Linked DNA regions of Mus musculus: all the other regions are reported to be linked to region 1. Evidence: microRNA targets listed by miRTarBase, many of them from high-throughput screens and not tested one by one. Region 1 holds a microRNA gene; each other region holds the end of a gene's coding sequence. Distances are between the middles of the regions.
What was found. The annotated mature microRNA mmu-miR-3064-5p reads UCUGGCUGUUGUGGUGUGCAAA and lies in region 1 at 1,571-1,592, opposite strand. An mRNA with a match to its seed (bases 2 to 7 or 8) in the 3' UTR can be bound and repressed. Matches are read on the target gene's strand: a 7mer-m8 pairs with bases 2 to 8, a 7mer-A1 pairs with bases 2 to 7 and ends in A, and an 8mer does both.

Region 1 (5,088 bases):
TAAAATTTTGATAAAGCAAAAATGTCATTACTTAAAACTGTTTTGCAAAAGAAATCAACATGTATTTATATAGTTACTGTCCTGTAGTTCACTCTTAAGGAAAATAGGCTATTAAATGACTTACTTCCCTGATACTGAAAAATGACAAAGCTTTTATCCAATAAATCTGGAATTATAAAATCCATTGTCTCTAACTTCTTCCCATACAAACAGATCATCCTAAGGGCCTTCTGAGTTCCTCTCCTAAATCCAGGAATGGGAAGTAGTCAACTTTCCTTGTGTAAAAATAAACACCAAAACAAAAATCCCCCCCAAAAACACTATCTAAGCCAAGTTGTACATGACATTATATATGTAAAATAAAGTACAATTTCACTTAATTCAGTCTTCAAATATCTTTTATTGGAAGGCCATGCATTGCCTTCATTTATTGTATTTGAAATCACTGTACAGTTACTTTTGTGAAAACACTGCCTGCATTTTCTAGTACAAAAAAAACCTAAAAATTGTTTCAGGAATGTAGAGAAATATCCAACTTAAATAGCGAAAAAAGTGCACCATAATTACTGCTGCACTGCAGTCATTTCTGCATTTCCCATGTTTCTTAAATAACTATCTTGTCTGATAACACACAATATAAAGAGCAATTATGAAAAACAGACATTTACATATACTTCTAAAGTCTTATTGAGAATACCCTGTTGGCATGGGATAGCCAATCATAGGCGCAGCAGCTGCGGTAGCAGGATATGCATATGCCTGTTGGTTCATACCATTGTGCATATTTGCAACATTACTTCCATATTGCTGAGTGCTATCATAACCGTTCTGGTAAGTCCCTGTTGGATTACCAGTCCTAAAACTGGTCTGTATGCCAGCAGATACAAAATTACTTCCAAAGCTCCCATTGGTGTAATTTGCAGCACTGTAAACACCATTCTGAGTTTTAGCCCCAAAATCTCTCTTAAGCAGATTAGAGTAGCCTCTGTCATAGTTTTCCCTGTCTCTAAAGGTATTAAATCCACCCCTTTTGCCTGCAGAGTATCTGTCACGACGATCGTCCTTCATGCCTCCTCTACCCCTGGAACGACCTGTCAAGAAAGTAAGTGGAAATTGATCAATTTTTATCTGTGGCATAAGTGTGGTAAGATAGGAGAGAGTTAGATAGCTCTATTTATGTTGGGTCTTAAGTGCTTTTAGATTCTTTAGGTTTCAAAATAAGAAGTACTCATTCTTCCGATCCCACTTTGTAGACAAGAGGTAACTGCCACCTACCAGAAACATCTCTTACGAAGATCCTTACCTGAACCTCTGTCTTCGACCAACTGAAGCAACTTGGGATTAATTGCTTGATTAGCTTCCCGAAGCACAGAGATAAGGTCGCTCACTTGCTTTATGTTATTAGGTGTAAAGAAAGTGTATGCTGTGCCTGTTTTGGTACTGCGAGCAGTTCTTCCAATTCGATGAATATAATCCTCTGAGGAGTTAGGGTAGTCATAATTGATGACAAATTTCACATCTTCCACATCTGTAAGGTGTTGCAGTGTGGCAAAATAGCAATGTACGGAGTTTTGCACACCACAACAGCCAGACCAAAAATAAAAAGTTAGACAATTGTATTCCCAAGAAGGTACGGGCTGAAAAAAATACAGTTAAAATGGTTATCCATTTCCTGTAGGAACACCATTGAGGTAGGAAAAAAGGGCAGGGTAGGAAAAAAAAAAAACCAAAACACCCAAAAAACAACAAAAAAATTTGCACATGTCAGCTGTCTTAACACCCACCCACTGACAGCCTATCAAGGGAATGTGTGTTCTCCTTAGCACATTCCCAAATTGACAGTCCCCTTACAGATCATCAAGTGACATCTGAATGCTTCTGCGCAGTAGGGCCAATTAAAAGTTTCTCAGCAATCTCTTCATGTGCTCATTTTTGAGGACCTTTTAACAAAAATGTAAAGGTCCTTTGCATTACACTCATCAGAAGTTCAAAACTCTGGCCACACTGCTTGTCTTGCCAAGACCTTACAACTGCAGCTGCAAGAAAAACATACCTGTCCCCCAAAAGTTGTTTTAATGCACTGTGTCTCGTCTAGGCAAGCGCTTCCAAGAAGCCAGGATTCACTTGAGAATGTGTCTCTCTCTGGCAGGTCTCGACATGACGACTACTGTGTAGGTGAGGGAGGAACTTTCAAGGCACTTTCTTTTCCCACTGACTATGTGTGAGAAGTTGGTCCTGCTCTAGGTCTCATGTGCCAGTACTCACCAATTTGTAAAAGGCTTTTAAAGCTGCTCTCTCCATTTCAAACTTGAACAAAAATTTCATTGAACATTGAAGTTTGGAAATATTTCTTCGACATTTCAGCAAACTCACTGAAACTCAAAGACCCACAGATCACAGTGAACAGTTTGAAACAATGCTGTACCATGGCAATCATGCAAAGCATGGGACAGATGAAATACCACGGCAGTGAACTGTGAGGTAACTTCCATTTTTTTCCCCCGGAGAGAACAGTTTATGGGGCAGAGGTGGTATGTTCTGCCCTTTGAAGATTACTGGCACACTTTCAGCTTTTCACCTCTCTAATCGACTGGAAGCAGCCAGCCGATCACTAGTCCTCCATCCCCCTCGAGTCCTCCGATTGTCATGCCTAGGCCTTGCCACAAAGACTGCACCTTTATGTGAAAAAAACTTAGAAAAAATGCAGGTTAAAGAAAGCAATAAACTTTCTTTAAAAAAAACTACATGGAGATCTTCTGGGAAACCAAGCCATGAATTCGAGTTTGTACTAACCTAGCCCTCTGGAGGCCACATCGGTAGCAATCAGAATAGGAGCTTTTCCATGTTTGAATTCTATAAAGACAACCATGAATAATCATTAATGCAAGCAAATGATGTTATCAAGCTACAAACTAATCTTATTTGAAATACATACCATTTAGAACCCAGTCACGTTCCTGCTGACTCTTGTCACCATGGATGCCCATGGCAGGCCACCTATACCAAGAATTAAATTATCAGTAGTATACCCAACTTAAAACTCTTGTCAAGACTCTACCAATATCTATTCCCACTGTACTTCATCTTGGCCAAGTGTTTTCCCACTAAGCATTGCAACCCAGAGCCTACTACAAGTCACTGGAACGAATCCATACAATTACCCCTATATCACAGCGCATGATTCCCAAAAAACACTAGCCCCAGATCAAAGTACTTTTAAGTCTGCTTTGACTCAGGAAACCACATACCCATCTCTCCTCATTTTTCTGGTAAGTTCATCACATCTTCTTTTGGTTTCAACAAAAACAATAGTTTTATTCTCCTTCTCACTCATGATTTCTTCCATCAGACGAATAAGCCTAAAGATGAAGAAAAACTCACCATTTTTAAAAGGATATAAAAACAAAACCAAACACAACCCTGATTTTTTGCTTAGTGAATCCAAATGTCAAACCCACTAAGCCACCACACATACAGATTTTCAGGTGTATCACTTTATGCGTGCTTGTGTAGTGACTAGGTTCAAAAACTATGAGTGTTTTCCTCATGCAAGCCAAGCAAGTTCTTCATATCACACCAAGCCATATCACCAACAAATGGACTTTTAAAAGAACATATAGCACACTACCTTAATTTTATTTTGAGACAATTTTCAGAATTGATTACTCTTAGTTTATGTAAGATTTTTCTCAATTTGTAAAAATGTAAACTCACTTTTCATCCTTTTCGACATCATGACATACATCCACAATCTGAAGAATGTTATGGTTTGCACTCAGTTCCAGTGCACCAATATTGATATGAATATAGTCTTTCAGGAAATCTTCAGCAAGCTGTCTTACTTCTTTTGGCCAAGTTGCACTCCACATTAGTGTTTGCCTATCAGGCTGAAGATTTAAGGAAGCAAGTTACACTTCAATCTTAAGAGCATTCCTAGAACTGATTTTTATGATAACATAAAGATACTTACTCTTATTTGATCCACAATTTTCCTTATCTGGGGTTCAAATCCCATATCAAGCATCCTATCAGCTTCATCAAGGACAAGGTAAGTTGTTCTTCTCAGATTGGTTTTCCCACACTCTAAAAAGTCAATCAGTCTTCCAGGTGTTGCAATACAGATTTCCACACCTTTAATTAAATAAATAAAAAGGAGTAGATGCTTTAACTATAATACACAAAACCATCATCTCCATCAGTGACAAAGATCCCCCTTTATGGTCACACACCTCTTTCCAAATCACGAATCTGTGGTCCTTTGGGAGCACCACCATAGATGCAAGTAGACTTCAAGCGACAAGCTCGACAATATTCAGCAGCCACTTGCTGCACCTGCTGTGCCAGTTCTCGAGTTGGTGCCAGCACCAAGCACTAAGTTTGAAAAACAAAAAAAAGTGTTTAGTATAAAACAGTTTACTAAGACCCTATGTCTTCGTGTGTTGGGAATTAGAATTCAGGTGGTCATAAGACTTTTTTTTGAGACAGTGTCTCCTGAATTCTCCAGTTTCTACCTCCCAGGCACTATTCTCAGGATAAAATTTTTGTGTGTGGAAGCACATGGAGAAACCAGAAGGCAACTTTTGCAAGTTGGTCTCTCCTTGTGGTAGTTGATCTTGATCAGGCTCATGACAAGTATCTATAATTGGCTGATCCAACTAACTGTCTTTGGATACTAATTTTTTCCCCCCGAGATAGGGTTTCTTTGTGTAGCTCTGGCTGTCCTGGAACTCAGAAATCCACCTGCCTCTGCCTCCCCAGTGCTGTGATTAAAGGTGTGTGCCACCACGCCTGGGCTGGATACTAATTTTAAGTGGCTAGTTTATACTGGCAACCCTATATTCCCTATATGAAAGTCAAAGGAGTTTTAGCAAATATGGTGGGAAACTTAAGATAATACTTACAATAGGCCCATCACCTCTCTCTAGGAATGGCTGGTGGTTTATGTGTACAATGGCAGGCAGCAAATACTATTGAAGAGTAAAAATAATAGAAATTGGATTAAAATAGTTATATATCTAAGGTCACCTCTGCCACAATTTATCAAGTTTTCCTAGACTTACAGATAATGTTTTCCCAGATCCAGTCTGA
Region 2 (5,088 bases), not on the chromosome of region 1:
ACCTTGGGTCTTACTGGTCCTGTTTCTGCCTTTAGCTGGGCCCCTCAGCTTAGGAGGTGTATGCAGGACCTGATGGCCTGCTGCCATAGCACTCTTCTCACATGGTCTGTAGACCCCTTTGGAGACAGAACAGCCTTCTTCCCTGGGTCTCCATGAGGGTGGGTGTATACCCATATTCTATGGATGGTAATCATGTACTGGAGATGATGGACTTTGAGCCCAATGATTAGGTCAAACAGGGAGCCCCAGGGAGCATCCATGTCTGCCTCCAGAGCGCTGGGACTGCCAGTGTGCACCTCCACATGCATGCGTGTTAAGGGATTGAATTCAGGCCCTGTGTTTGCAGGCCAAGCACATTACCAGCTGCAATGTCCTTCCATCTCTGGGCCCCATTTTCTCATGGCTTGCCCTTTCCTGGTCACAGGCACTCTTTTGGCTGTCCAGTTTGTTCATGCTGTGATCAACCGAATCATCCCTACCTCCAATGGCTTCATGGCCCCCACAAGCCACGGCTATCTCATCCGTGAGCGCTTCCAGTGCCCGTCAGTCAGAGCCTCCCAGCAAGACCCTCTCAAGAACTTCAAGAAGGCAGTGTGGCTGGTAAAGACCAGGCAGAGGGAAGAGCTGGCTGCAGCAGAAGCCTCCCAGGATGCAGAACCAGTGGCCGTAGAGGGAAAGGAATCAAAGTCAAATAAACGCTCACAGGTCTGCCTCATACTCTGAAAGCCTACCAAGGCAGGGGCTTCAGTGACTTAGCCATGGCTCACCTGGTTGAAGCCAACTGACTCTCTCTGCTGGTGCCATGTGGACCCCCCCTTCCCCTCAACCATCTTCCATTTTTCCTCATAGCTTTTTCTGTGGGTTCTGAAGGCCTACTTCCTTCAAGTGAGCAGCAGCCTGCATCTCCCACCTTACTCTAAGAACTTGGCTCAAAGGCTTGGCTCTGCCTCTTAGTTGTACTGGTGCAATTCTTATCCCTGAGCCAGTTACTAGCTGTGAGAGGATCTGAAATCATTGTAGGGACCAAGAGTGACCTTGTCAAAGTGTTGTGTGATGGAGAGTGAAAGACTGCTGGGATGTGATGGGTGCTGTCCTGTCTTCATAGCAGTGAGCCTCCAGTAATAGCCCATAATCCATACTGCAAAGCCACACAGAGCATAGTTAAACACACAGCATAGTTAGTCTGTCTGCAGCTCCTGCTGTGAGACTCAAAATGGTGTGTAAAAAAAATCCTCCTAGGATCTGGTGGTGGCATAGCTTTCAATCCCAGCACTCAGGAGGCAGAGGCAGGAGGATTCCTGTGAGTTTGAGGCCAGCCTTAGGTTACATAGTAAGTTTCAGGACAGCCAGAGCTATGTAGAGAGAAAAGACTGGTGCTGGCTCAGGGCTTAAATCACCTTGCATCCCAGAATACAAGAACATTGTACACACTGTCACCAACCTGTAAGCCTAGCCTCAGGGAACAGGCTATTTTTGTTTCTTCCACTGCTGTGACTGAAAAACTCGACCAAAAGCAACTTAGAGGAGGAAATGGTTCATCTGGCTTTCACCCCCAGGCCACACACCCAGTTCTTTACTTAGGGAAGTCAGGGAACGAACTCAAGCAGGAACTGAAGGCAAGCCTGCTGGCTATTGCACACAGCATGACCTCTGACTAGGGGACTCAGCCGCGGTCATACAGCAGTGTCTCCGTCATTATCAATTAGTGATGGTCAAGAGACACCATGACCATGGCAAAGCAGTTAATGGGGTTGGGAGAACTGTTTATAGTTTCAAAGGCTTAGTCCACTGTCATCACGACAGGGAGCCTGGTGGCACACATGGCAGGCATGGTGCTGCAGGAATAGCTGAAAGATATATCATGAGAATCCTTTTAAACAGTTCCCTCTCCGGTGGCCAGACACTCAAATATATATGCCTCTGGGAGCCATTCTCACTCAAGACACAAGCCTGAACCACAGAGGATGTAGTTTCTGCCGTTCTCCTGATTAGCTAAGCTTTTTCATAAGCCCCAGAACCACTTACCACTCACAGTGGGCTCCCTCCTCCATCAGCTAGCAGTCAAGACAATGCCCCATGGACAGGCCCACACACCAGTCTGACCTGGGCAACCCTTCAATTAAGACTTGCTTCTCAGGTGACTCTAGGCTATGTGAAGTTGACAGTTAAAGCTAATAAGGTCATAGAGGATCCTGAGCATTCTGGCTAGCTAGCTAGACACATCTGTGAGCTCTGGGTTTGATTAAGAGACCCTGCCACAATGAATAAGGTAGAAGAGAAGTCAATGATTATTCCTGACTCAACCTCATGCCTTCAGATACACATCACATGTACCCACATGGGTGCTCAGGCACACATGAACACTCATGATGCCCACACCAGCCTCCATGTGTAGCCAAAAGTGCTGGCACAGTCTTATCCTCCTGCCTCCATTTCCTGCTTGGACAACTATAACCACTGTGCCCAGCTAAGATGCTGTCTCACTCAGTTCCCTGACACATCAGGACATGCTAGCATCTACCTGCTTTGCTGCCAGACCTTCTGCCTTGAAATGGCTTTCTCCACAGTGCTCACAGCCATCTAGTGAGCCGGTCTTGTGCCTGGAGCCTTGCTACAGCCAGACCTTAGAGGTGAGAGGCCCCCTTCACGCCATGGGACACTAGACAGACTCAGTGAAAGCAGCAGTAGAAACAGCTTGTTTTTCTGTGTTGGATACAGAACCAGGACTTGAAGGCAAGTGCTATATCTCAAGCCATACCCTGAGCCCTTACTGGGGGAATCCAGGAAGGGGCTTTACTGCTCAGTCACATTCCAGCTTCAAAATGAGGCCTTTGAAGATACCTTGTTCAGTTACTTCCCAAATAAGGATTCCAATGCATGCTTTAGCAATTCTGAAAATGTTAGTGTCAAATTTTATTTTTTTAAAAAAATTACTGGTTATGGCAAACAGAGGTTGTGTGCACCTTTAATCATAGCACTTGAGAGGCAGTGGCAGTGGCAGTGGCAGTGGCAGTGGCAGTGGCAGAAGCAGAGGCAGGCAGATTTCTGAGATCAAGGCCAGCCTGGTCTACAAAGTGAGTTCAGGACAGCCAGGGCTATACAGAGAATTCCTGTCTCCAACAGCAGCAGCAGCAGCAGCAACAACAACAAAGGTCTGGAGAGATGGCTCAGCAGTTTGATCCATCTTAGCCCCCACATCAGATGGCACACAAAAGGCCTTTTGGCCTTTGGAGATACCTGCCCAAACATACACACACACACACACACACACACACACAGAATTAAGATCAATATTTTTAAAAATTATGGGCCAATGAGCTGACTCAGTTGGTAACAGCACTTGCTACTCAGTCCCGATGGGCTGAGTTCAATCCCTGGCACTCAGAGAGTGGAAGTAGAGAGCCGACTTCAGAGTTGCTCTCTGACTCCACACATTCACTAAGGTAAGCACCATGGTGATGACACCCCCACCATGCACTCATATGCATACCAATAGTAGTAATAATATAATAACAATAAAATTAAAGATCTATTTTAAGCTGTAATTTAAAAATATATGCACATGTATTGAACAATAATTTGTTTGAGATTTTTAAAAATAATACTTTTTTACTAACATGTACTAATTGTAATATATTAATGAAGACCCACAAGATATTTTCAGCATGCAAGTAGCTGCAAACTTGGTCTTTGTTTTAAATCTACCTTCTGTCTCTGTCCAAAGCTGGTCCTCACAATTCCATATCCTTTTAAGTCAGGGTATGAGAGGGAATGAGGTTCGTCACTGTGCAGCCAACTTACTCATTGAACATGATGTCCTTCAGTTCTGTCTGTTTTGCTACAAATGATAGTCTCTCATGTTCTTCTCTATGGCTGTGAACTGTCCTATCACTGAGTGTACCACAGTCCTTTGTCCACCCACTTTGGTGTTGGTGACTGCTAGTTTAGGAGTCTCCAGCCATACCATCTCTGTTTAATTGAAGGACCTGTAGTTTGAGCAGAGAACCCCTGAAGGGGAAAGAAGGCCACATTTTTGTTAAGACTTTTCTATGAATTGTGGACATTATATCAAAACTGTGGAAAGTTTTGATGCACAGCTTCTGGCCTAAAATTCCAATGTCTGGGGCATGGTCACGCAAGCATTTAGTCCCAGCCTTGGGAGGTAGAGGCAGGAGGATCTCTGAGTTTGAGGCCAGGGTGTTCTACATAGCAAGACCCTGTCTCAAAACAAAACAAAACAAAAGAAAATTCTTGTGTTCATCGAAACAACCTGAAGGAGATTAAATTATGAACTATGTTCTGGGTTGGTGGCTGGGGAGAGCACAGGGTATGAGGAGCATGTTAGCAGTTTCTGCTGCTGTGTGAATGTCAGAGTGTGACCCCTGGTCATCAGAGCATGACCCCTGTTCCTGTAGGCACTGTGGATGAAAACATGCCACACAGACTATGCTCACTAAACCCACTGCAGACAGCTGGCTATTCCAGGGTTATTTAGTTGCTGTGAGCCAAACACCTGACTCAGTAGTTTAAACAGGGAAGGGTTTCTTTGGGCTTAGGGTTTGCAGTTCCAGTCCACCACGGTGAAAGCCCGGGGTAGGGGGAGGGGAGGGGCTCATAGCTGTGGCTCACATGGGGGAGATACTTTGTTGTTTAAAATCCATTCTAGATCTCTGGTCCATGGCATGGTGCCACCCCTGTTCAGGGTGAGTCTTCTGTCCTCAGTTAAAGCTCCCTGGAAATGCTCTCACAGACTTCCAAGGGAGTCCATATCTAGTCAAAGTGACAGTGACCAGGGTTGGTCATCCCTTACCAACCTGGCACATACATCCCCTTACATCACAGTCGCCTGCCCTGTCCCTAGGCCTTCTTGGCCATCTCAAAATGCAAGGTGCATTTGGTCTGTCTCTGAATGTGCTCAAAATAATTTTATTTTATTTGTGTGTAGGGGCAGGAGGTAAAGCTATGAGGTATATGTGGATCTTGGAGTACGGCTTGTAAGAGTTGTTTTTTTTCCCCACCAAGTGGTTGTTGGGGATCAAACTCACTGGGGTCAGGCTTAGCAGCAGGCACCTGCATACACCAAGCCCT
Region 3 (5,088 bases), not on the chromosome of region 1:
ATGTTTGAAGACAAGTGCCTTACATGTCTTACATAGTCCGGGTAGCCTGGAACCAATGAATCTGCCTCAGCCTCCCGACCGCTGAGATTACAGACGTGACCCCATCAGACAGAACTGCTGTTATTATCTTTTGTTTCATGATTATGTTAAAAACAACCCCCTAAGCCTCCTGGGCAAACAGATATTCAAGTGTCCTGTTTCCTGGCTCTCCCTACCCCTGCCCCCTCCCACCCCTTTCTTGGCAGGTACTTCAGTTATTTGTATGCTATCAGCTGATATACTTCCCAGAGAGGATAGACAAGCATCCTACATGGGATTCTCACAATCACAAGTTCTAGACCCACTGCTCCAAGGGCCCAGGAACGACTCCCTCCTGCTCAGAGCCTAGCACCTAGTGTCTTCCCTGGCCCAAAAAAAGTCCAGAGCAGATCCTCAAGGGCAGGGTTGTTGGTGAGGATGCCATATTCTTGGCATAGAGTGTTGGAGGGAAACTGGCGAACCTCCAAACCTTCACTGTGTGGCCTACATGCTCCTCTAGGGCTGGGGATGGATTCGAGGAAGAATAGGAGTTGGAAGTGGTTCCATGGGAGAGCAGCTGCCCATGGATTGCACTGTGCTTGCCAAGCATTCCTGACCCTCCCTGTCTGTCCCCTGCAGGAATGTGGCCTGCTGCGCAAGGGGACGGTGCTCCTAGCTGACAATGTCATTGTCCCGGGAACCCCTGACTTCCTGGCGTATGTGAGGGGGAGCAGCAGCTTCGAGTGCACACACTACAGCTCATACCTGGAGTACATGAAAGTGGTGGACGGCTTGGAGAAGGCAGTCTACCAGGGTCCAGGCAGCAGCCCCGTGAAGTCCTGACCACTCAGCCTGATGAGCTTCCGTCCCAGCTCCCTTCTGCACGATGACACACACTCACTCTGACCCCCTCTATGCTTCTGGGGCCTTTCCTCAGGGCCTGTGGCTCCAGATTGTCATACACTGGCACATTAAAGGTAGTGAGCTCACCATGCAAACCACTACAATACCCCTGGAAAACACCTGTGCATCAAAGGCTGCATTGAGGCCAGAGATGCAGTAGATCACAGTGCGTGCCTGGCACGCAAAACCCCTCACGGTGAATCCTCTGCACCCAAGAACAAAAAGGGAGATTTAAAAAAAAAAAAAAAGGGGGACTGGTGAGATGGCTCAGTGGGTAAGAGCACCCGACTGCTCTTCTGAAGGTCCAGAGTTCAAATCCCAGCAACCACATGGTGGCTCACAACCATCCGTAACAAGATCTGATGCCCTCTTCTGGTGTGTCTGAAGACAGCTACAGTGTATTTACATATAATAAATAAATAAATCTTTTAAAAAAAAAAAAAAAAAAAAAAAAAAAAAAAAAAAAAAAAAAAAAAAAAAAATCAAAGCAGGTGTCATCCTGATGGCCTCACTAACTGGAAGAGGAGATTTTTTACAAAGTTTCAGTGTGGGATCCCTAGGCACTGCCATCACTCAGCAAGAAGTCAGGAAACTGAACATATCCAGATACCATTCGGCTGTCACCAATGGCAGCAACGACTCAGACGGTACTGTCACCAGCAACTCATACCACATTTCATCTTAAGAATGAGTCACAAACTTTTCAGGTATGATGGCGCATGCCTTTAATCCCAGAATCCAGGAGGCAGAGGCAGATGGATCTGAGTTCTGTGCCAGCCTGGTCTACACAGTGAGTTCCAGGACAGCCAGGGCTACATAGAAATACTTTGAAAAAAAAAGTCATAATCTCTTTTATATTATAAAAGAAATTAAAGATCTAAATATTTGGATATAAGAAATTCACTGAGTTATTCTTTTCAGCTACCACACTGCTCTTACTTGGCGCAGAACAGCCTTTGTACTCATCTCTGACTAAACAGGCATGGGGCCACGCTGTCCCCGATGTCTCTGGGATAAACAGTCTCTCCAGTTCACACCATTGAGGCATGTCTGCCAGGCACCCAGATTCTGAGGAAGTGCCAACCCAAGCTTAAGAGTCACCCTAGCCCCCATCTCTTTCAAGAGGCTCCTCAAGGCCTCAGTAGGGGCCCATTTCCTAGACTAGAAACAAAGGTCAGCTCCATCTTGTCTGCTCCCACATATGCCCATATTGGTCAGCCGGCACACAGGAGCCAGGAGTGACAGCAGTGGGACGTGCCTGAGGCCAGGGGCAGAGCACAACCCCCATACCCCTTCCACCCCCTCCCTGCAATGGGACTTGAGGGAACTGTATCTTCACCAGGGGGCAGTGGTGGCTCAGCTAGCACAGGACTGTGCCCTCTCCTGGTGAGCCAAGGCAGAAGACAGGCAGTTCTTTGCTGCTTTTTTAATCTTTAAATTTTCTTACAAAAATTTCAATTTTTGTTGATAGTCTTATTTTGGTTTCATTTTTAATGCATTTTGTCAGTTTTCTTCATTTTAAAGTCACAAACAGCAGGCACTGAACAGCAGTTCCCCCCACTGCTGCCGGCAGTCAGGCCCCGAGGTTACTTGAGGTTCTAGGCAGATGCAACAGCCAGGGTGGCCCCAGCCACAGGCAGCTTAGGAGGAGTATGCTGCAGAGGGAAGGTGTTCCAGGAATCCAAGGATGGGGGTGCTGGTGACAAGCACAGCTTGCCACTACCCCCAATCTGGCTGCCTCCTAAACTTCCCTGTCTGGACTCTTTTAGAGCAGCCCTCCCTGTGGTCAGCCTACATGCAGTGTAGTACTCCAGCCACCCTTGGGAGCCCAAGTTCTTTTCCAAGGCCCCCTACTTGTCCCATTGCCTGCTCCAGGACCTCCAATCCAGGCTTGTATTTGCTCCTCTGTGGCTGTGCATGGGGACCTCCCCCCAGCCTCCTCTCCTACCACACAGCACCATGTCAGTAAACAGCTAACTCAGACCTGGAGAGTTAGAGCAGAAGAGTAGAGAAGAGGGTAGGGTAAGGTAGGACAAGAGGCTTGGCCACCCTGCCACAGCAGGGTGGGGCTCCTGGCTCCAAGACTGGTTCTGCTCAAGATGGCGGGCCCTCTGGCCCTCTTCCAGCTACCTCGATGCGATCCCTAAGAACAAACAGCTGGGCCAGGGCCCTGCAAAGGAAGGCAAAGACAGATGTTTAGTCGGGAGCCCAGATAGATAAGAGGCAGCAAAGTGTAGCAAGGTGACTTGGGACCTCCATACAGGGAGCTGCCTTGATAGGCCATACAGAAGCAGTAGCTGTGGAGTGAGGGATGGGCCATACCAAGACCCTTGACACCAGAACCAGTCCTGTCTTGCGGGTCCTCACAGGGCCCTGTGCTGGGGGTATTTGAGGAAATAGGGGGCCTGTTTCCCCAGGACCCTGATCTCCAGAGACCGGAACAGGGCTGTTGTCAAGTCCTGCCAGAGATCACATAGGGAGCTCAGTCATGCAGCAAGCAGAGATGAACACGGAGCCCTAGTCCAAGGATGGGCAAACCAGAGGAAGGAACGTACCAGGCATGCAAGCTAGACCCAGGAGTCAACAGGCTGAGGCTTAGTGTCCCCCACGGCGTCCACCAGCCTGACCGAGGGCCTGCTGGGCCCAGGCGGAGGGGCCTTCCTGCCAGGATCGGGCTGCAGTGCATGGTGGGTGGGCAGACAGGAGTTAGAAGCAGAAAATAAAAGCAGGTTAACTGCAACTAAGGGTAGGCTAGACTGGTTCAGGCTGATTGATGTATATAAGGAAGGGGTGGCATGGAGGGCCTGCCAAGGCAGTACAAGGAAGCCAAGCTCTGGGGTTGGTTATGGCTCACACATGAATGTACCCAGAGGCTGGTACGTGAAGCCAGGATACTGGCACACAGGTGGTAGATGCTGCCTTTTCCAGGGGACCACAGTAGACACCTTGCCCATACACATGTAAGAGAAAGGTACAAATCCGTTTGCTCGGACTCTCTGGACCTACGCAGCCTGTGGCCAGGCAGAGCTGCCCCTGTCTGCTTCTTTGCGGCAGGTGCGTGCACCAGACCCCCTCAGTGCTGAAGTCTGATTGATGATGGATATATAGGCTACTTCCTGGGCCCTGCAAGTGAGTGCCACTCCAGCCGTGTCCTCCAATTCTGATCAGGCTCAACACTATCTGGCTGTTCTCTTGACAAGCCTCCCTGGACACTTGCTTGCTGTTACTCACTCTCAATAGTTCTTTCTCAGAGGTGTCCCCTGTGGAGTCACTGCCCAGTGTCCTCCTCTCCCTCCGGTCAACTGTGGCGTAACCATCTGTAGGGTGGAACAGAGCATGGAATAAATGGAGTTCTGGGGAAGTCACCATGGGGATAGGTGATCTTCCTTCAGTCCAAATACAGAAAGCCCTGGGATGGGGGACTTCTGGTCTAAGTGCCAGCTCCAACCAGTCCTGAGGCCTCTAAATCAACCACCTATCTTTTCTCCAATTGACATCTTATCATAGCAAGGCCTCGGCATCGCCCAGGGTTACACCATGAAACCGGGTGGTCCTCCCCAGTCCTCTTGCCTGCACACCTGCACTCACCTGGACCAAGGGTATCCATGGGGATCACATCCCGGGTGTTTGACTTCTCCCCATCTGCAAGGCATGAGCAGGTGTCCATGAGCAGTGTGCAGGCATGGGGAGGGCAGGACAGACATGCTGACATGCTCGCCACAGAACAGTGCTCAGTGTCTTCTGTCAGGAGTCTGTCCTATCTCCTTAACCCCACCTACCTTGTGCATTAGCAGGTGGGAGCTACCCTTAAGCCTCAGGGTAAGTCTCATGTCCCTCTCCCCTGCTTGTGCTCACCAAGGCTCTTGTCTACCAGTGGCAGTGTGCTGTCATCAAAGCCGCCAGAACTTGGTGTCCCTTTGGGTCCTTTGGCAGTGCTAGCAGACTGAGGAGTCACAAAACACAAGCAAGAGTTAAGGCCTAAGAAACTGCTTGGGATCAGACGTGACAAAGTAAGAGAGAAGGCGGGGCAGCTGTACCTGGAAGCGTGACTTCGTCCAGCCATCCCTCTGCAGGGCTCCACGCAGCTCCTTGTAGCTCCATACAGTCTGTAGCACGTGTGATGCTGCCTTGGCCTCCCGCACTGACTGGCTGCAGCAGCAGCAGCCA
Region 4 (5,000 bases), 47 Mb from region 1:
ATAAGGACACTAACCGCAGCACAGTTCCTTCTTCATACCCTGCAGGAGGCTGGGCCTCAACCTTGTGGAGCACTGACTGCCCCTCTCCTAATATAACCTGTGTTTACAGCGAGGCTGAGCCTGACAAGGTTGATTGCCAACAAGAATCAAGGTTGACCTGACCATGCTAAAAATATGTTGATTGCCAGTTCTCTAAGAACTGGAGTTCCTTTTTTCTTCCAGAAATGAAAACTTAGGGGAAGAGGAAAGATATTTAAGAGAAATGTGGTAAATATTCTGTTCCCCAGTTAGTAAAATGTTTTTTGCCTTAAAAAACAATACCAAGATCACAGGAGTTAAGTCATGCGTGTGTGTGTGTGTGTGTATATGTGTATGTGTGTGTAATGTGTTGATAGCTCTATCTGGTGGTCTGTTGGGGATTCCCCTTGTCTTAAAGCAGTAAGTTCATAAAGACAAAGGAATGAGACATGCACATTCCATATATAGGAAGAATGATAGGTGCCCAGGTTTCCAGTCCTCCACCCAAGTGTTTCGTGGTTTTGTCTGAAGAACCAACCCTAAGCTAGAACTGAGCTATGACACATGGTCTTGTTTCTCTTTATTATTTTCCCCTTTCTCACCCAAGTACATTTTTACAGGAAAAAGCAAATCCCAGTCACACTACTTCTCCAGGGATTCTCTCAGGGCTTCTGCCCTCGCATGCCCACTAATCTCAGGATCCCTCGCCTGCACCTGCTACTGAAGCCCACTACGCCTGCTGCACCAACACCTAACTGCTCCTTCCTCTCTGTCTCCACCAGAGTCTGAAGGAAGGCCTGACGGTGCAGGAGCGCTTGAAGCTCTTTGAATCCAGGGACTTGAAGAAAGATTAGCTGCATCCATTCCACTGACACATCCTTCCCAGCTGGTGGCAGCACAAGCCAAGCGTGGTTTTCATCTTCACCTGTGCATCTCATTGTTGCTGTCATTAACTGTGGGGATGGATGCATGAGAGACTGCTGTGGGGTGCTTGCTCCAGTCCCTCCCTGTCAATTCCAACTTCCTGTTGTCTTTATCACAGCTTTTTTCCCATGGTATTCTCAGATTAGTCACGCGCAAGCAGTAGAGTGGGACGGTTTCCCCGCTGATACCTGAGCAGCCCCCTTGTCCTCCCAGCACACTCACTGTCAGTATTAAGGCACAGCAGCCTGTTAATAAGCTAGCCCTGCCTCAGAGTGCACATGTGGGGACCTGCCAGTGGCTCTGCTCTGCCGCACACAGCGGAGCACCACCCTTGATGGTCAGAGCAGAGCCACCGAATGTTGTAGGCTGGCCTGATTTCTGAGGGGCCTAGGAAAGTGTCCAGCCTGGCCCACTTCCTTTTGATGTGGGAGGGGGACAGCATTTTGTACCTGGCCACTGATGCAGCTTAGAACCATACCCAGATAATCCGGCAAATCCTTCACAACCTGGAAAATGTTGAAAGCAACCATTCCTATTTTGGTTTTTTATTAAATCTTGCACAAAAGCCCCGGCCCCTCTCATTCCTTCCTCCGCTCGTGCCTCCCTTGCTGTGCTAATCCTGGTCTTCTGGTGGCCCGGAAGAGTGACTTGCAGCCTGAAGCTTCAGACTTGTCAAGTGTGATGGGTCCTCAAAGTCCTCTGGAGGGGAACATTGCTGGGGTTTAATCTGTCTGAAAAGAAGCTGCCATGCTGCTTGGCAGGGTGAGGAGAAGCCCGTGTGCAAAGACAGACTGTCAGGACTGGTGATAGCAGCAGTGTGTGCTCAGGACCCTCGTTAGTCTGGGCTCTGGAAGGGTCCCTTGAATTGTCTGCTTCTCATGGAGCCATTGACAGGGAGCCTGTGCTAACTCTGCTTTTCTAGCTGAACAGGACCTGAAACTACCCAAAGCAGTCTGCAGCATTTTCTTTAAAAAACAAACCAACAAAAACATTTTTCTCTATTCTCATAAGAAAACATTCATACTGTAAGATGCAGCACACAGGAGTCCCCATGTCAGATGGGAGAGGCAATAGCCTCATAGCTAGATATGCGATCTGGCTTCTTAGTCCTGGCTTGTTAGTGTTAAGTGGGTCAGATGGATGGTCTCTGAGCGTACAAATTCAACTCATGAGTCCCCTAAAGGTTCTACATGAGTTGACGTACAAGGTCTAGCTGGCCTAATAGACAGGCAGGTCGAAACTTCAAGATAACGGATTTGTTACATACCAAAGTGTGCCACTGACCAGCAGGCAAGCCCTGGGCTCCCCTTTTCACACGTTTTTAAGTTCCACTCTGGCACATGCTCAGTGGTCATTTATGTTTTCAGCATTATGGGCAAGTCAGACCTGTTAAAACAAGCTTTGAGCTCAGAGTGGGCTAGCCTTCAGGAGCCTGGGGTTGTGCGTTGAGGACTCCTGTTCTCTCATACGGTTTCCTTGCAGCTATCCTGCTGCCCTTGGGACCCTCTGGCCCCATTGCATTATCTTCCTGCCTTGTGCTTCCTGGGATGCTACAAAGAGCCTGCGGAAGATGCCAAGCCTACCATTCAAAAGGACACTTGATCTTTTGCTCTTCACCTCAGAATCCTAGGATATGAACTTTGCTGAAGGTACAAGTACCTACATGTCAGAGGCAAGGGCTGGGAGACAGGCACGCTGCACCCATCTAATCTGTCACTCAGGGCTCCTACTGCAGGCTCGTTTTTGCTGTGATAGAGCACACACTGCTCTAGGGCTTGTTTCACGTGTGGGTATCTGGTATGTTGGCCAAATGCTGAACTGGCAGACATTCCTGGATCATCCCCCACTGTCTACGCCAGTCTGAGCAGTAACATGTGCAGGATCAGGGTGCATCTTGATTTTCTTGATGGTGACTTCTGGCAAAAATGAACCAAACAAGAAGTTGGTCTTCCTGAGTCCCTGAACTGCCGGCCCACTGCAGCAGTTTATTTTAGACTGCCACATGTCTTCTGTCCATTCCCTTCCCTCACTCCCTGAGCCAGGTTCACTTTTGCCTGACCCCTCTACAGGCTTCCCATTCCCTGGAAAGAAGTTGAAGTTGGTGTGTTCAGAGAAGAGGTATGGAATGTGCAAATGGAGTTGGTTCAGGCATATGTAAAAGAGGATGCTTGGCTGAGAATGGGTAGTGTAGATCAAGAAGTCACAGGCTGCTCCCAGTACAGTCAGTCAGTGGCATGCTTTCTTTTACACATTTGTGGTCTACCAGCATCTACAAGCAAACTACCATTACAGGGAACATACCATTTGACAGTGAATGTAAATATATGCTTAAATTACATCTTGCAAGCCTGGCATGGTGGTGCACGCCTTTAATCCCAGCACTCGGGAGGCAGAGGCAGGCAGATTTCTGAGTTCGAGGCCAGCCTGGTCTACAAAGTTAGTTCCAGGACAGCCAGGGCTATACAGAGAAACCCTGTCTCAAAAAAAAAAAACAAAAACAAAAACAAAAAAAAACAAAAAAAAAAAACTTCATCTTTGCACGTGTGATGCCGAGCACATCTGCCACACAGGGCTACTGGCTGCACCTTTTCCAGTATGGTTGTGGCCACAATGCCACAATAATAGGAGGCCAGAGCCCCATGAAGTAGGGAGTCCCCAGAGGGAAGAACGCTAGGAATGTGTGCATTCACTGAGTGTAAACAAAGGTCAGAGTTGGCAAACTCCATTGGATCTAGCAGAACACTGAACTGGGCGCACTCACTCATGTCTGTACTCCTACCACCTGACGCTCCAAAGTACAAGGTCAGTCTGGGCTACATAGCAAGACTATCTCACATACAGGTGGGCTAAGGGCATGGATATAAAATATATAAAATTTGGGGTTCAACTACAGCACTACAGAGAGCACACTTGTGGTCTTTGGAACATTTGTCCAAAGGGAGCCTGAGAGATTTGACTAGGAAACAAATGGGTATGAAAGATATTTGAAGGAATGTGTACTACTGTTAACCTCTCTACAGGGGGAGATGGTGCGCTGACTTCTTTCTACCCTGGAACTGCAGAGAAAGCACCGCCTCACTGCTGCCACCTAGCTGGCGCCGAGGGAAGTAGCTGGCTAGCACACAGCCTGCACTGTTGGGTGTGAACCAGGGCATCAGCTTAGTTAGATTCCTGCAGGCCTGCCCCACACACCTGACCTCCAACTAAGCCTGGCTCTCAAAGACAGGCTGGATAAGCACCCAGAGGCCCTATGCAGCCTTCCCACTCATGCCATACTCCATGTAAGTAAGCCAGTGCAAGCTGCACACCAAAGTCTGCTGGCAGCTACAGGGACAACAGTAACACCCAAACCCCAGACTCTGCTAGTGGAGAGTCAGTAGTTACCTCTTGGCCAGCGGAGGGTTAGCTGTTCATGCTATGCTGTAAAGATGACATCACCTAGTAAGCTACTTAGAGGCTATCAGTGTAGGGACTCATACAGCCTTTCTCATTAGAGCTCCCAGCATACATACAGGACAGCCTATGGCCTGCACTTCACTTGCTCAGCCTTTCCTGTATATCAGAGCAAGCAATATTAAGTATTTCTAAGGCATGGTGCAGGAACTTTTGTGCAAAGTTTGTGTGAGTTTTAAAATACCCCTTTTGAAGGTATGTAAAGGCAGTGTTCAGTGCAAACCCCTCTCAAATGTCAAGACCATTAGTTGGCGAGGCATGGTAGCACACACATTTAATTAGCACTTGGGAGGCAGAGAAGCAGGCTAAGTTCAAGACCAACCTGGTCTACATAGAGAGTTCTAAAAGATTTACACAGTAAAAACTGCCTAAAAATTAAACAACAAAAAAGACTATGTTAATAAGTAATGCCTTTTAAAGTTTTGGTTACTCAACAGACTCTGAAGATATCCTTGCCCACACTCACAGCAAGCTCTGATTCTTGTTTAAAGTATTCTGTGAGACTTGCATAGAGCCACTCAAGGAAAACCAGTACTATGAGGGACTCTTGGCACCTTGCCCTCAGGTTTCTCGGGGTGTTTTTCTTAGGGGAACTGGCTGGAGCA
Region 5 (5,088 bases), not on the chromosome of region 1:
TTAACCAGCAGTGGCTACATCTCCCCAGAGCACTGTTCCTGCCAGGGTCTGCTCTCCTGGGAAAAGAAACAGTAAACTGGCTGCTTGTGAACCAAACAAACAGTTGAGGAAACAAACACAAAAACAGCTTAAATGTCACTATGAGATAGCAGCACGACAACTGTCACAAGCTCAAAACTGCAGCTATGGTAGGTAAATGGACTGGTGTGAGTGGATAAGGCCGTGATAAAGGTGAGCCCAGCAAACACCTTGTGAGAATTCACTTAGCACTGCCTGGCTGTCCCACTCCCGTTTAGGAAGATCTACCTCGAACTACAGATCCAGCATAGAGACCAAAAACCAAGCTGTCTTTCAAAACAATAGCTCTATCAGTTCAACTTAAACACACAGAAGCCCATGTCTTCAGCTCTAGACCTGGGAGCTTGGCTGGTCCTAAATCCCCACACAACAGCAAATACAGGGCCATTCTCTCAGGCCACCCAGCTTTGTGTCTACAACTAGTAGCAGTGGCTACCCAGGGCTTCCATCAGCCCACATAGTCAAACATGAGAGACCACCCTTCCCTCCCAAACACAAGGGACTACTCTCCTGTCTATGGAGAGTTTCTTTCTCTATATGCCAGAAAATACGACAGGGCCTTTTCCAGCCAGGAGACAAACCTGAGATATCACAGATGTTAGAGTGGGGACAGGCACCCTCTGAAGCTTGTGGTGCGCAGAGGGACACCAACCAGGATCTTTGCTCAGGCACCAGCTTTCAGAACAAGTGTGACGAGGGTCTCAGTAAAGATGCTACCATACTGCTGCAAGGTCTGTACCACCCACCCTAACTACAAAGAACTACTACACCCTGACTTGAACCATTCACGGGGTGCAGCCTGGGCTACATGTTCTTCCTTACCATGCAGGTGTTGCTATGTTCTCCTTACCACTTGGGGAACTAGGGAAAGTAGACCCTGGATGGTAAAGACACTGACTGTACTTTCCCAGGCCACAACCTGGCAAATAGGAGGAGGGATGACAGGGCTAGGGGAGGAACCTGTCATCCATGCCCTAAGTGTATTGTCAGGGAAGTTTGCATCACAGCTCTGACATCCCCAGCCATACCCTTGCACAGGCCTCCCAATGGTGGCATGGTGGCACCGGAAGATGCCGAATACCTCTCACAGGTTTGAGAGCTGACACAGCTTTTGTCAACACAAACCTAGTTAGACCTGGGAGAAACACCCACTGAGGAGCGGCCTCCATCACGTTGTCTGTGTGGTTTAGGAGGGTCGAGCCTGTGTGAAATGGCAGCAGAGCAAGCCGGGGGGAGCAAGCCAGGGGGCTGCACCCATTCCCCACTGCCTCTGCCTCAGCGCCTGCCGTGGCTTTCCTCAGTGGTGGATTGTAATCTGTGAGCCAGACAAACCCTTTCTTCCCCAAGTTGTATTTGGTCGTGGCTTTTATTATGGTTTTCATTTATCACAGCAACACAAAGCTCAGAACACCAGTGATACCAGATACCAAAAGCACCTCCAGAGTGCACCTCAGACACCAGGAAGACCCTGAGTCAGCAAGGTACAAGTTTATTGCCAAGGAATCAGTGAGAAACAAGAGGATGCTGGGCATGGCTCGTTCCCAGTTGGGGCTTGTGACTTGGCCATAGTCACAAAACAGGAGTTAGAACTGGCTTTACACATGTGGTACTGGACACAGATAGAATGAAATCACCAATAGGCTCAGGTAACCAAGATCAAAGCCATTTCACTAGGTAAACCAGCACCAATCTATAAAGGTTTACTCAAGTTGATTAACTTTCAACAAGAAAAATGGACTTTTAACACTTTCTTCTTCCAAGTAACAACCATAGTTTCAAACAATCTAGAAGTAAATTTTGTATTATGCCACTTTTCAATGTTGCCTGAAGCAGTCTGGGCCTTAAAAGTCTGATTGGAGATTGTATTGCAGGAACACACCGAGAATACCAGGTCAAAAGGTCACACTGGAAACGCTATCTTTGGCATGCATACACACGTGTACACAGGCCATATGCACATGTTTGTGTGCACATACTCATATACGCACACACAGGTACATCCCACATCGACACAGACATGTAGACCTGCACATCTAGTTCTGAGATTTTTTTTTTTTATTTTTTCGAGACAGGGTTTCTCTGTGTAGTCCTGGCTGTCCTGGAACTCACTTTGTAGATCAGGCTGGCCTCAAACTCAGAAATCCGCCTGTCTCTGCCTCCCAAGTGCTTGGATTAAAGGCGTGCGCCACCACCGCCCGGCTGAGAAATATTTTTAATGCCAACCGACCTGGGCTCCTCGGGGGGGTCTGTTGTTACTAAGGAATGAGCTGCATGAGTCGTCATGTATTCAATTTCTTGGCACTTTCTGCCCGAAAAGCTGAGTAGCCTTCCCAGCACAGTTGGTCAAGACAGTGTACCCACACCCTGGAGGCTCCAGATCACCACCACAAAATCCTGTACCGGAAACTTCCTAATTAAAAAAAAAATCAAAACTACTTCTGTGTCATGGAACACAGAAGGCACGAGTGCTTCTGAGCCATCAAGCCACATGGCCTCCACAGCCCGGCCTTGAGACACTGGCACTGTACTTCACATGCAGACCCTGCGTTCTGAGACAGCCTTCAGGACAGGCCACATGCCAAGTCACCGTATTAAAAGTCGAGCAGAAATGCAACTTCCTGCTCTACACCAGGTCTTCCAACTCTTCATGAAAAATAAATTCCTAGGTAACCCAAAAGTCATGCGCAGCTGCCCTGAAGCCAGAAGATGTGGGACACTGTCAGCAGAAGGAGTTGTGACAACCACACACATGGTTAACAGAAAGCCAGCTCATTACTTTATTATATTTTAGTGCTCTCTTAAAATAAATATGGTAACATCAAGTGCACAGTGAGAAATGAAGACACACAGGGCATCCAGTGACAGGTGGCCACAGACTTTAATGCTCATACAGCACAGCGCCACCCCTGACTGGATACACAGTCACCAAGGAAGAGAAGACAAGACCTCGCCTCACGCCTCCGGCGTTCTGTCCCATGCTCCTTTCCTCTGTCTACATGACACTGCTAGCGCTAACACTAAGATGTCTGAGTTCCCTCTATGATCTTCAAGTCTCTCCTGCAGTTAAGACAGATTCAAGTAACACTCTCAAAAAGAAATGTGCAAAACTACAAGTGGCTCCAGGGTCTTCACATAGCTGATCCATCGCTGGGGCACCTCTGCTCCCCAGGAACGCCTGTTCTGAGGCAGGCAGCTGCCACAGGGGCCAGCGGGGAAGAGACCCAAAGCAGCTACACCATTCTGAAATAACCGCAAATAACCACCAAGTTTTAAAAGAGGCAAAAAGCAGAATTACCCACCTCACCTGAGACTGCACACTGCACTGAGCACGCTGTTCCTCCAGAAGCAAGAACCGTGGTAGGTAAGCCAGGCCTTCACAGCACCACAAAGGAACCGGCAGCCAAGGGTGGAAAGTACGCTACTATACCAAAATCTGCCTTTATCAGAGTGAACATGCCAGCACATTCCCCAGACCTAACCAGTGGTGGCTAAGCCGGCTTAGCTGCCGGCTTCCAATGAGGCCAGCATCAGCTAGCAGTACCCACAGCCCCCAACTGTGTGGCAGAAATACTCACTCCACATATGTAAACGTCATTTTAGCAGAAGACAAACTTTACCGATTTCAGTGCTTTTAGTGAACTGACATTTTCAGTAAACTTTTTCTGAGCAGCAAGGAACAGGTTTTTTTTTTTCTTTTCTTTTTTTCAGAATCTTAGAACTGGATATAAAGGTTGGCAGTAGACACAGTCAATAAATATTATACAATTTCTAAAATGAAAAAGATTTCCCATACGAACTCCTTTTATGAAGACATTCAAACACCCTGACCCGAATGAGCCTTGGCCCTATAATCACGCACGATTACAGCTGGCCAACATGGGGCATCAGGCAATGTGCACAGGGGTGAAGGGAGGCCAGAGAGCAGATCACATTTAACTTATTCTGAAGAACTTCAAGTGAGGGGCCCACAGGCCAGGATCTCACTCCATGGTGTCCCTTATTCTGAGGATCTCAGTGGTCAGCAGGGCCACAGCAGCCATGCCCATGAAAGCACAGGACTCACTCCTGCATATGTCATGCCCAGCATCCATGTGTGCAGGGGAGAGAGCATCTTCTCTGTTCTCTAGGAACCGCTGTAGAAAACTGTCCATGGCTCATCAACTTCGTACCAAGTAGATGAAAATAATAAATAGGGATCCCGTCAGCACAACCTCTCAGAGTCCTGGTTGCCATGGTCACTTACGAGTCTGGGTCTTCTTTGGCACCGTGGGCCGCTTGGGCTGCCACAAGTGGTTATGGATCGTGAGTGCATCCACGCTGACTGACATGGTCTTGGCTGGGATCAGGTTAAACTGCTTTCGGTCTGAGCTGTATTTATATAGTTTGTCAATCATCTTCTTGGTGATGCTTTTTGGCCCCGTGCCAGTGAGTTTGTAGATTTCTTCAGTGTCGGGTTGGTAGCAGTAAAGTGCCCTGAACTGGCAGCCCGCATCTCGGAACAGAATAATATAGTGGTTGGCATCACACTTCTCCAGCTCCTGGGGAGTAGGAAGAGATGGAAAACACTGAATGTCACTCTTACACCCTAGATTCCCATTGTTGTCCAATGGGTAGGTATTGTTCCAAGGCAGTAAGGGTCCAATAAACATCCTCTTTTAAGACAGACAAAACAGGTTCAGCACAGCCTCCCCACTCAAAAAAGCTATGGCTGGCCAATGAGATTTTACTAAAGACTCTGAGCAAGCAAGGAAAAATGCTGCTGAGACAAACTGAGGAATCATATAAAAAGATGCTTCACAGCTCCATGCTGTGGAGAAACGTAAATCAAAACCAAGTGAGCACCAGTTCACAATGAATGCTAAAATAAAGAAGACTATGAGGGCAGATATGAAATGATGTAGTCAGCTGCTCTCCACAGTGGACGTGGAGTCTGTTCTCAAGGAAACTGCGAAAACTGTCTGCGGCTCATCACACTGTACCAAATGACATCCTGTGACCACACTCTCTCCA
Region 6 (5,088 bases), not on the chromosome of region 1:
CATGGTATTAATCCCACCACTTAAGAGGCAAAGGAAGGCAGATTTCTGAGTTTTGAGTCCAGTTTTGTCTATAGAGTGAGTTCCAGGACAGCCACTGCTACACAGAGAAAACCTGCTTTAGGGGGTGGGGAGTGGTATCAGTATACACAAAAGTTTTAAGGAATTTAAAATATGCAAATAATTGAATCAAGTGATATTTTTATTGCTCTGTTATGAGTTTGTTTTTTGAAAAGTAGTATTTTCAAATTTGATGTACTATTTCTGCTTGCAAATTTGAGGTAGAACTGAGTGATCATTGTTCTTTGAACAGGGACTGGTGTCTATCAAAGACAAACCACAGCAAATGATTGTGCAAGGCATCCATGAGCTGTACGACCTGGAAGAAAGCCTAGTGAACTGGAAGGATGATGCGGAGAGAGCGTGTCAGCTGGTCTTCATTGGTGGGTAACAAACTTCTGAAGGAAAGTGCACAGCCGGGTTGGAAGGAGACGTACTGTGTTACTTAACCAGATTAACTGAGAAGCTTGTCTAGTTGTCTGAATCATGGATAATGTAAGATTTTGTTAGAACTTTACTCTTTAAGACAACTTAGAACAGTGCTTACTTCAAGCACTAACTTGGTTTAAGGCTTAACTAGAAAGTTGTGAAAGGAATCGAGCAGTTACTGTTGATTTTGTAGAGTGCCTGCGTTTAACTTTGGAATTGATAGGTGAACAATTCTTTTAATAAGCACAATCACTGTTTTGTTGTATTCTCAGGTAGAAATTTAGATAAGGATGTTCTTCAACAACTCTTCCTCACTGCTGTGGCAGAGGCAGAAGAGCAAAGGACAGCACCAGGCAGAGATGGAGTTTGTCCATCGCACTAGAAGCTGTTTCTTACCGGAAGAACTGACGAGAAAAACAAAGATGTATTTAAATCCTGGATCCACTACCGCTGTTGTGATTTGGGAGTATACGTATAATAGTATTTATTTTATAAAAACACATAACATTGTAGTAAATTATTATAAAAAATATCTGATATTCATAAAATATATCCTCTGGAGGTTTTTTTTGAGGCAAGTATTTCACAAAAGTTCCAGAATTTTCTTTGAAGTTTAAGTATGACTGCTGACAACTTATCCATCATTATTTGTAAAAATGATGGCAAACATTTTCATTTTCTCTTAAAAACTTCAGGTTATTGCTGAGATACAATGAATACAGTGATAGTAACAAAAAATTGCTATCATTATATTTAAAACCAGCTTAACCTTTATTTTTATGCTATGTGTGTGAGTATTTTGCCTGCATGTATGTCTGTGTACTTTGCACATTCAGTGTCTGAAGTCCAGAAGGCACCAGATCTCCTGGAGCTGAAGTCACAGACGGTTGTAAGTCTTCATGTGGGTGCTGTGAACTAAACCCAGGTCCTCTGGAAGAACAGCCAGCACTCTTAACTACTGAGCCATCCATCTCTTCAACTCTCTCACTGTGTTTTTAGGAGAATGAGTTTTTAATGTTCCTAAAGAGTCAAAGAAATTAAACCATCTCTTACAATCAGTAATAGTGTGATGGTACTTTGGCTCTTTTTTTTTTTTTTTTTTTTTTCAAAACAGGGTTTCTCTGTGTAGCCCTGGCTGTCCTGGAACTCACTCTGTAGACCAGGCTGGCCTTGAACTCAGAAATCCACTTGCCCTGCCTCCCGAGTGCTGGCATCAAAGGCGTGCACCACCACGCCCGGCTGGTACTTCGGCTCTTTGTTCTGTTTTACACCTAGAAGATTATAATTGTTGAACTTTAAATTTTTAGTCTTATTGCTGGCATTAAATTCTTCCTGCCTATTTTGAACTGTGTTAATTTTCTGTATAATATGAGAAATAATGAGGTACACTCCTTTACTAACCATAACTAAGGATAGCTATCTGTGTGTGTGCATATCATAGTGCGTGTGTGTGTGTGTGCATGTGTGTGTGTGTGTGTGTGTGCGCGTGTGTGTGCGCGTGCGCGCGTGTGAGTGTTTGCACACATGTCAGCTTCTGAATTTCTAGCCAGTTCTCATGTCTCTGCCTCCCATCTCACTGTAGAAATCTGGAGCTGGGATTATAAACCCAAAACAAGTCTGAATTCTAATTGCCAAAGTTTTATGGCAAGCAATTTGACCTTGTAGCTCAGCCATCTTACTGGCCTCACAGATGACCTTTTAAAAAATATTTCTTAAATTTATGAACACGTGTGTTGGTGCCTGTGGAGACCTGAAAAGGGCATCAAGACCCCTCAAGCTGAGATAGCATGCAGTTATGTGTCACTGCAGGCCCCTCAAGCTGAGATAGCATGCAGTTATGTGTCACTGCAGGCCCCTCAAGCTGAGATAGCATGCAGTTATGTGTCACTGCAGGCCCCTCAAGCTGAGATAGCATGCAGTTATGTGTCACTGCAGGCCCCTCAAGCTGAGATAGCATGCAGTTATGTGTCACTGCAGACCCCTCAAGCTGAGATAGCATGCAGTTATGTGTCACTGCAGGCCCCTCAAGCTGAGATAGCATGCAGTTATGTGTCACTGCAGGCCCCTCAAGCTGAGATAGCATGCAGTTATGTGTCACTGCAGGCCCCTCAAGCTGAGATAGCATGCAGTTATGTGTCACTGCAGGCCCCTCAAGCTGAGATAGCATGCAGTTATGTGTCACTGCAGGCCCCTCAAGCTGAGATAGCATGCAGTTATGTGTCACTGCAGGCCCCTCAAGCTGAGATAGCATGCAGTTATGTGTCACTGCAGGCCCCTCAAGCTGAGATAGCATGCAGTTATGTGTCACTGCAGGCCCCTCAAGCTGAGATAGCATGCAGTTATGTGTCACTGCAGACCCCTCAAGCTGAGATAGCATGCAGTTATGTGTCACTGCAGGCCCCTCAAGCTGAGATAGCATGCAGTTATGTGTCACTGCAGGCCCGTCAAGCTGAGATAGCATGCAGTTATGTGTCACTGCAGACCCCTCAAGCTGAGATAGCATGCAGTTATGTGTCACTGCAGGCCCCTCAAGCTGAGATAGCATGCAGTTATGTGTCACTGCAGACCCCTCAAGCTGAGATAGCATGCAGTTATGTGTCACTGCAGGCCCCTCAAACTGAGATAGCATGCAGTTATGTGTCACTGCAGGCCCCTCAAGCTGAGATATCATGCAGTTATGTGTCACTGCAGGCCCCTCAAGCTGAGATAGCATGCAGTTATGTGTCACTGCAGGCCCCTCAAGCTGAGATAGCATGCAGTTATGTGTCACTGCAGACCCCTCAAGCTGAGATAGCATGCAGTTATGTGTCACTGCAGGCCCCTCAAGCTGAGATAGCATGCAGTTATGTGTCACTGCAGGCCCCTCAAGCTGAGATAGCATGCAGTTATGTGTCACTGCAGGCCCCTCAAGCTGAGATAGCATGCAGTTATGTGTCACTGCAGGCCCCTCAAGCTGAGATAGCATGCAGTTATGTGTCACTGCAGGCCCCTCAAGCTGAGATAGCATGCAGTTATGTGTCACTGCAGGCCCCTCAAGCTGAGATAGCATGCAGTTATGTGTCACTGCAGGCCCCTCAAGCTGAGATAGCATGCAGTTATGTGTCACTGCAGACCCCTCAAGCTGAGATAGCATGCAGTTATGTGTCACTGCAGACCCCTCAAGCTGAGATAGCATGCAGTTATGTGTCACTGCAGACCCCTCAAGCTGAGATAGCATGCAGTTATGTGTCACTGCAGGCCCCTCAAGCTGAGATAGCATGCAGTTATGTGTCACTGCAGACCCCTCAAGCTGAGATAGCATGCAGTTATGTGTCACTGCAGACCCCTCAAGCTGAGATAGCATGCAGTTATGTGTCACTGCAGACCCCTCAAGCTGAGATAGCATGCAGTTATGTGTCACTGCAGGCCCCTCAAGCTGAGATAGCATGCAGTTATGTGTCACTGCAGGCCCCTCAAGCTGAGATAGCATGCAGTTATGTGTCACTGCAGGCCCCTCAAGCTGAGATAGCATGCAGTTATGTGTCACTGCAGGCCCCTCAAGCTGAGATAGCATGCAGTTATGTGTCACTGCAGGCCCCTCAAGCTGAGATAGCATGCAGTTATGTGTCACTGCAGACCCCTCAAGCTGAGATAGCATGCAGTTATGTGTCACTGCAGGCCCCTCAAGCTGAGATAGCATGCAGTTATGTGTCACTGCAGGCCCGTCAAGCTGAGATAGCATGCAGTTATGTGTCACTGCAGACCCCTCAAGCTGAGATAGCATGCAGTTATGTGTCACTGCAGGCCCCTCAAGCTGAGATAGCATGCAGTTATGTGTCACTGCAGGCCCCTCAAGCTGAGATAGCATGCAGTTATGTGTCACTGCAGGCCCCTCAAGCTGAGATAGCATGCAGTTATGTGTCACTGCAGGCCCCTCAAGCTGAGATAGCATGCAGTTATGTGTCACTGCAGGCCCCTCAAGCTGAGATAGCATGCAGTTATGTGTCACTGCAGACCCCTCAAGCTGAGATAGCATGCAGTTATGTGTCACTGCAGGCCCCTCAAGCTGAGATAGCATGCAGTTATGTGTCACTGCAGGCCCCTCAAGCTGAGATAGCATGCAGTTATGTGTCACTGCAGGCCCCTCAAGCTGAGATAGCATGCAGTTATGTGTCACTGCAGACCCCTCAAGCTGAGATAGCATGCAGTTATGTGTCACTGCAGGCCCCTCAAGCTGAGATAGCATGCAGTTATGTGTCACTGCAGGCCCGTCAAGCTGAGATAGCATGCAGTTATGTGTCACTGCAGGCCCCTCAAGCTGAGATAGCATGCAGTTATGTGTCACTGCAGGCCCCTCAAGCTGAGATAGCATGCAGTTATGTGTCACTGCAGGCCCCTCAAGCTGAGATAGCACGCAGTTATGTGTCACTGCAGGCCCCTCAAGCTGAGATAGCATGCAGTTATGTGTCACTGCAGGCCCCTCAAGCTGAGATAGCATGCAGTTATGTGTCACTGCAGGCCCCTCAAGCTGAGATAGCATGCAGTTATGTGTCACTGCAGGCCCCTCAAGCTGAGATAGCATGCAGTTATGTGTCACTGCAGACCCCTCAAGCTGAGATAGCA

Region 2: the mRNA of Nwd1 is a reported target of mmu-miR-3064-5p. Seed matches in the 3' UTR shown: 8mer at 1,344-1,351, 8mer at 2,615-2,622 and 7mer-m8 at 3,087-3,093.
Region 3: miRTarBase lists Comt as a target of mmu-miR-3064-5p. Seed matches in the 3' UTR shown: 7mer-m8 at 1,725-1,731.
Region 4: miRTarBase lists Mprip as a target of mmu-miR-3064-5p. Seed matches in the 3' UTR shown: 7mer-m8 at 3,392-3,398.
Region 5: the mRNA of Camsap1 is a reported target of mmu-miR-3064-5p. Seed matches in the 3' UTR shown: 7mer-m8 at 2,168-2,174.
Region 6: miRTarBase lists Cbwd1 as a target of mmu-miR-3064-5p. Seed matches in the 3' UTR shown: 7mer-m8 at 1,426-1,432.

What each region holds. Positions count from the first base shown.
Region 1 is chr11:106,781,166-106,786,253 of GRCm38, forward strand. Mir3064 (microRNA 3064) reads right to left here and starts at 1,594; the gene lies at 1,528-1,594. Ddx5 (DEAD box helicase 5) reads right to left here. Exons shown (of 13, transcript NM_007840.3): 4 at 5,061-5,088; 5 at 4,902-4,967; 6 at 4,230-4,371; 7 at 3,971-4,131; 8 at 3,715-3,887; 9 at 3,249-3,359; 10 at 2,936-2,997; 11 at 2,794-2,853; 12 at 1,304-1,528; 13 at 1-1,091. The coding sequence ends at 685.
Region 2 is chr8:72,711,169-72,716,256 of GRCm38, forward strand. Nwd1 (NACHT and WD repeat domain containing 1) reads left to right here. Exons shown (of 19, transcript NM_176940.5): 19 at 425-3,578. The coding sequence ends at 723. Among named protein-coding and RNA genes, the nearest start is that of Sin3b, 9.6 kb to the right of the region's middle.
Region 3 is chr16:18,403,610-18,408,697 of GRCm38, reverse strand. Comt (catechol-O-methyltransferase) reads left to right here. Exons shown (of 6, transcript NM_001111062.1): 6 at 658-1,816. The coding sequence ends at 861. Arvcf (armadillo repeat gene deleted in velocardiofacial syndrome) reads right to left here. Exons shown (of 18, transcript NM_001272029.1): 13 at 4,959-5,070; 14 at 4,777-4,864; 15 at 4,510-4,563; 16 at 4,153-4,238; 17 at 3,477-3,596; 18 at 1,622-3,091. The coding sequence ends at 3,489. Among named protein-coding and RNA genes, the nearest start is that of Gm15764, 7.4 kb to the left of the region's middle.
Region 4 is chr11:59,774,716-59,779,715 of GRCm38, forward strand. Mprip (myosin phosphatase Rho interacting protein) reads left to right here. Exons shown (of 24, transcript NM_001368931.1): 24 at 801-5,000. The coding sequence ends at 872. Among named protein-coding and RNA genes, the nearest start is that of Gm51899, 8.0 kb to the left of the region's middle.
Region 5 is chr2:25,925,413-25,930,500 of GRCm38, forward strand. It overlaps Camsap1 (calmodulin regulated spectrin-associated protein 1), which reads right to left. Exons shown (of 18, transcript NM_001372499.1): 18 at 1,426-4,616. The coding sequence ends at 4,314. Among named protein-coding and RNA genes, the nearest start is that of Kcnt1, 50 kb to the left of the region's middle.
Region 6 is chr19:24,916,373-24,921,460 of GRCm38, reverse strand. It overlaps Cbwd1 (COBW domain containing 1), which reads left to right. Exons shown (of 15, transcript NM_146097.3): 14 at 311-440; 15 at 759-1,545. The coding sequence ends at 868. Among named protein-coding and RNA genes, the nearest start is that of Foxd4, 18 kb to the right of the region's middle.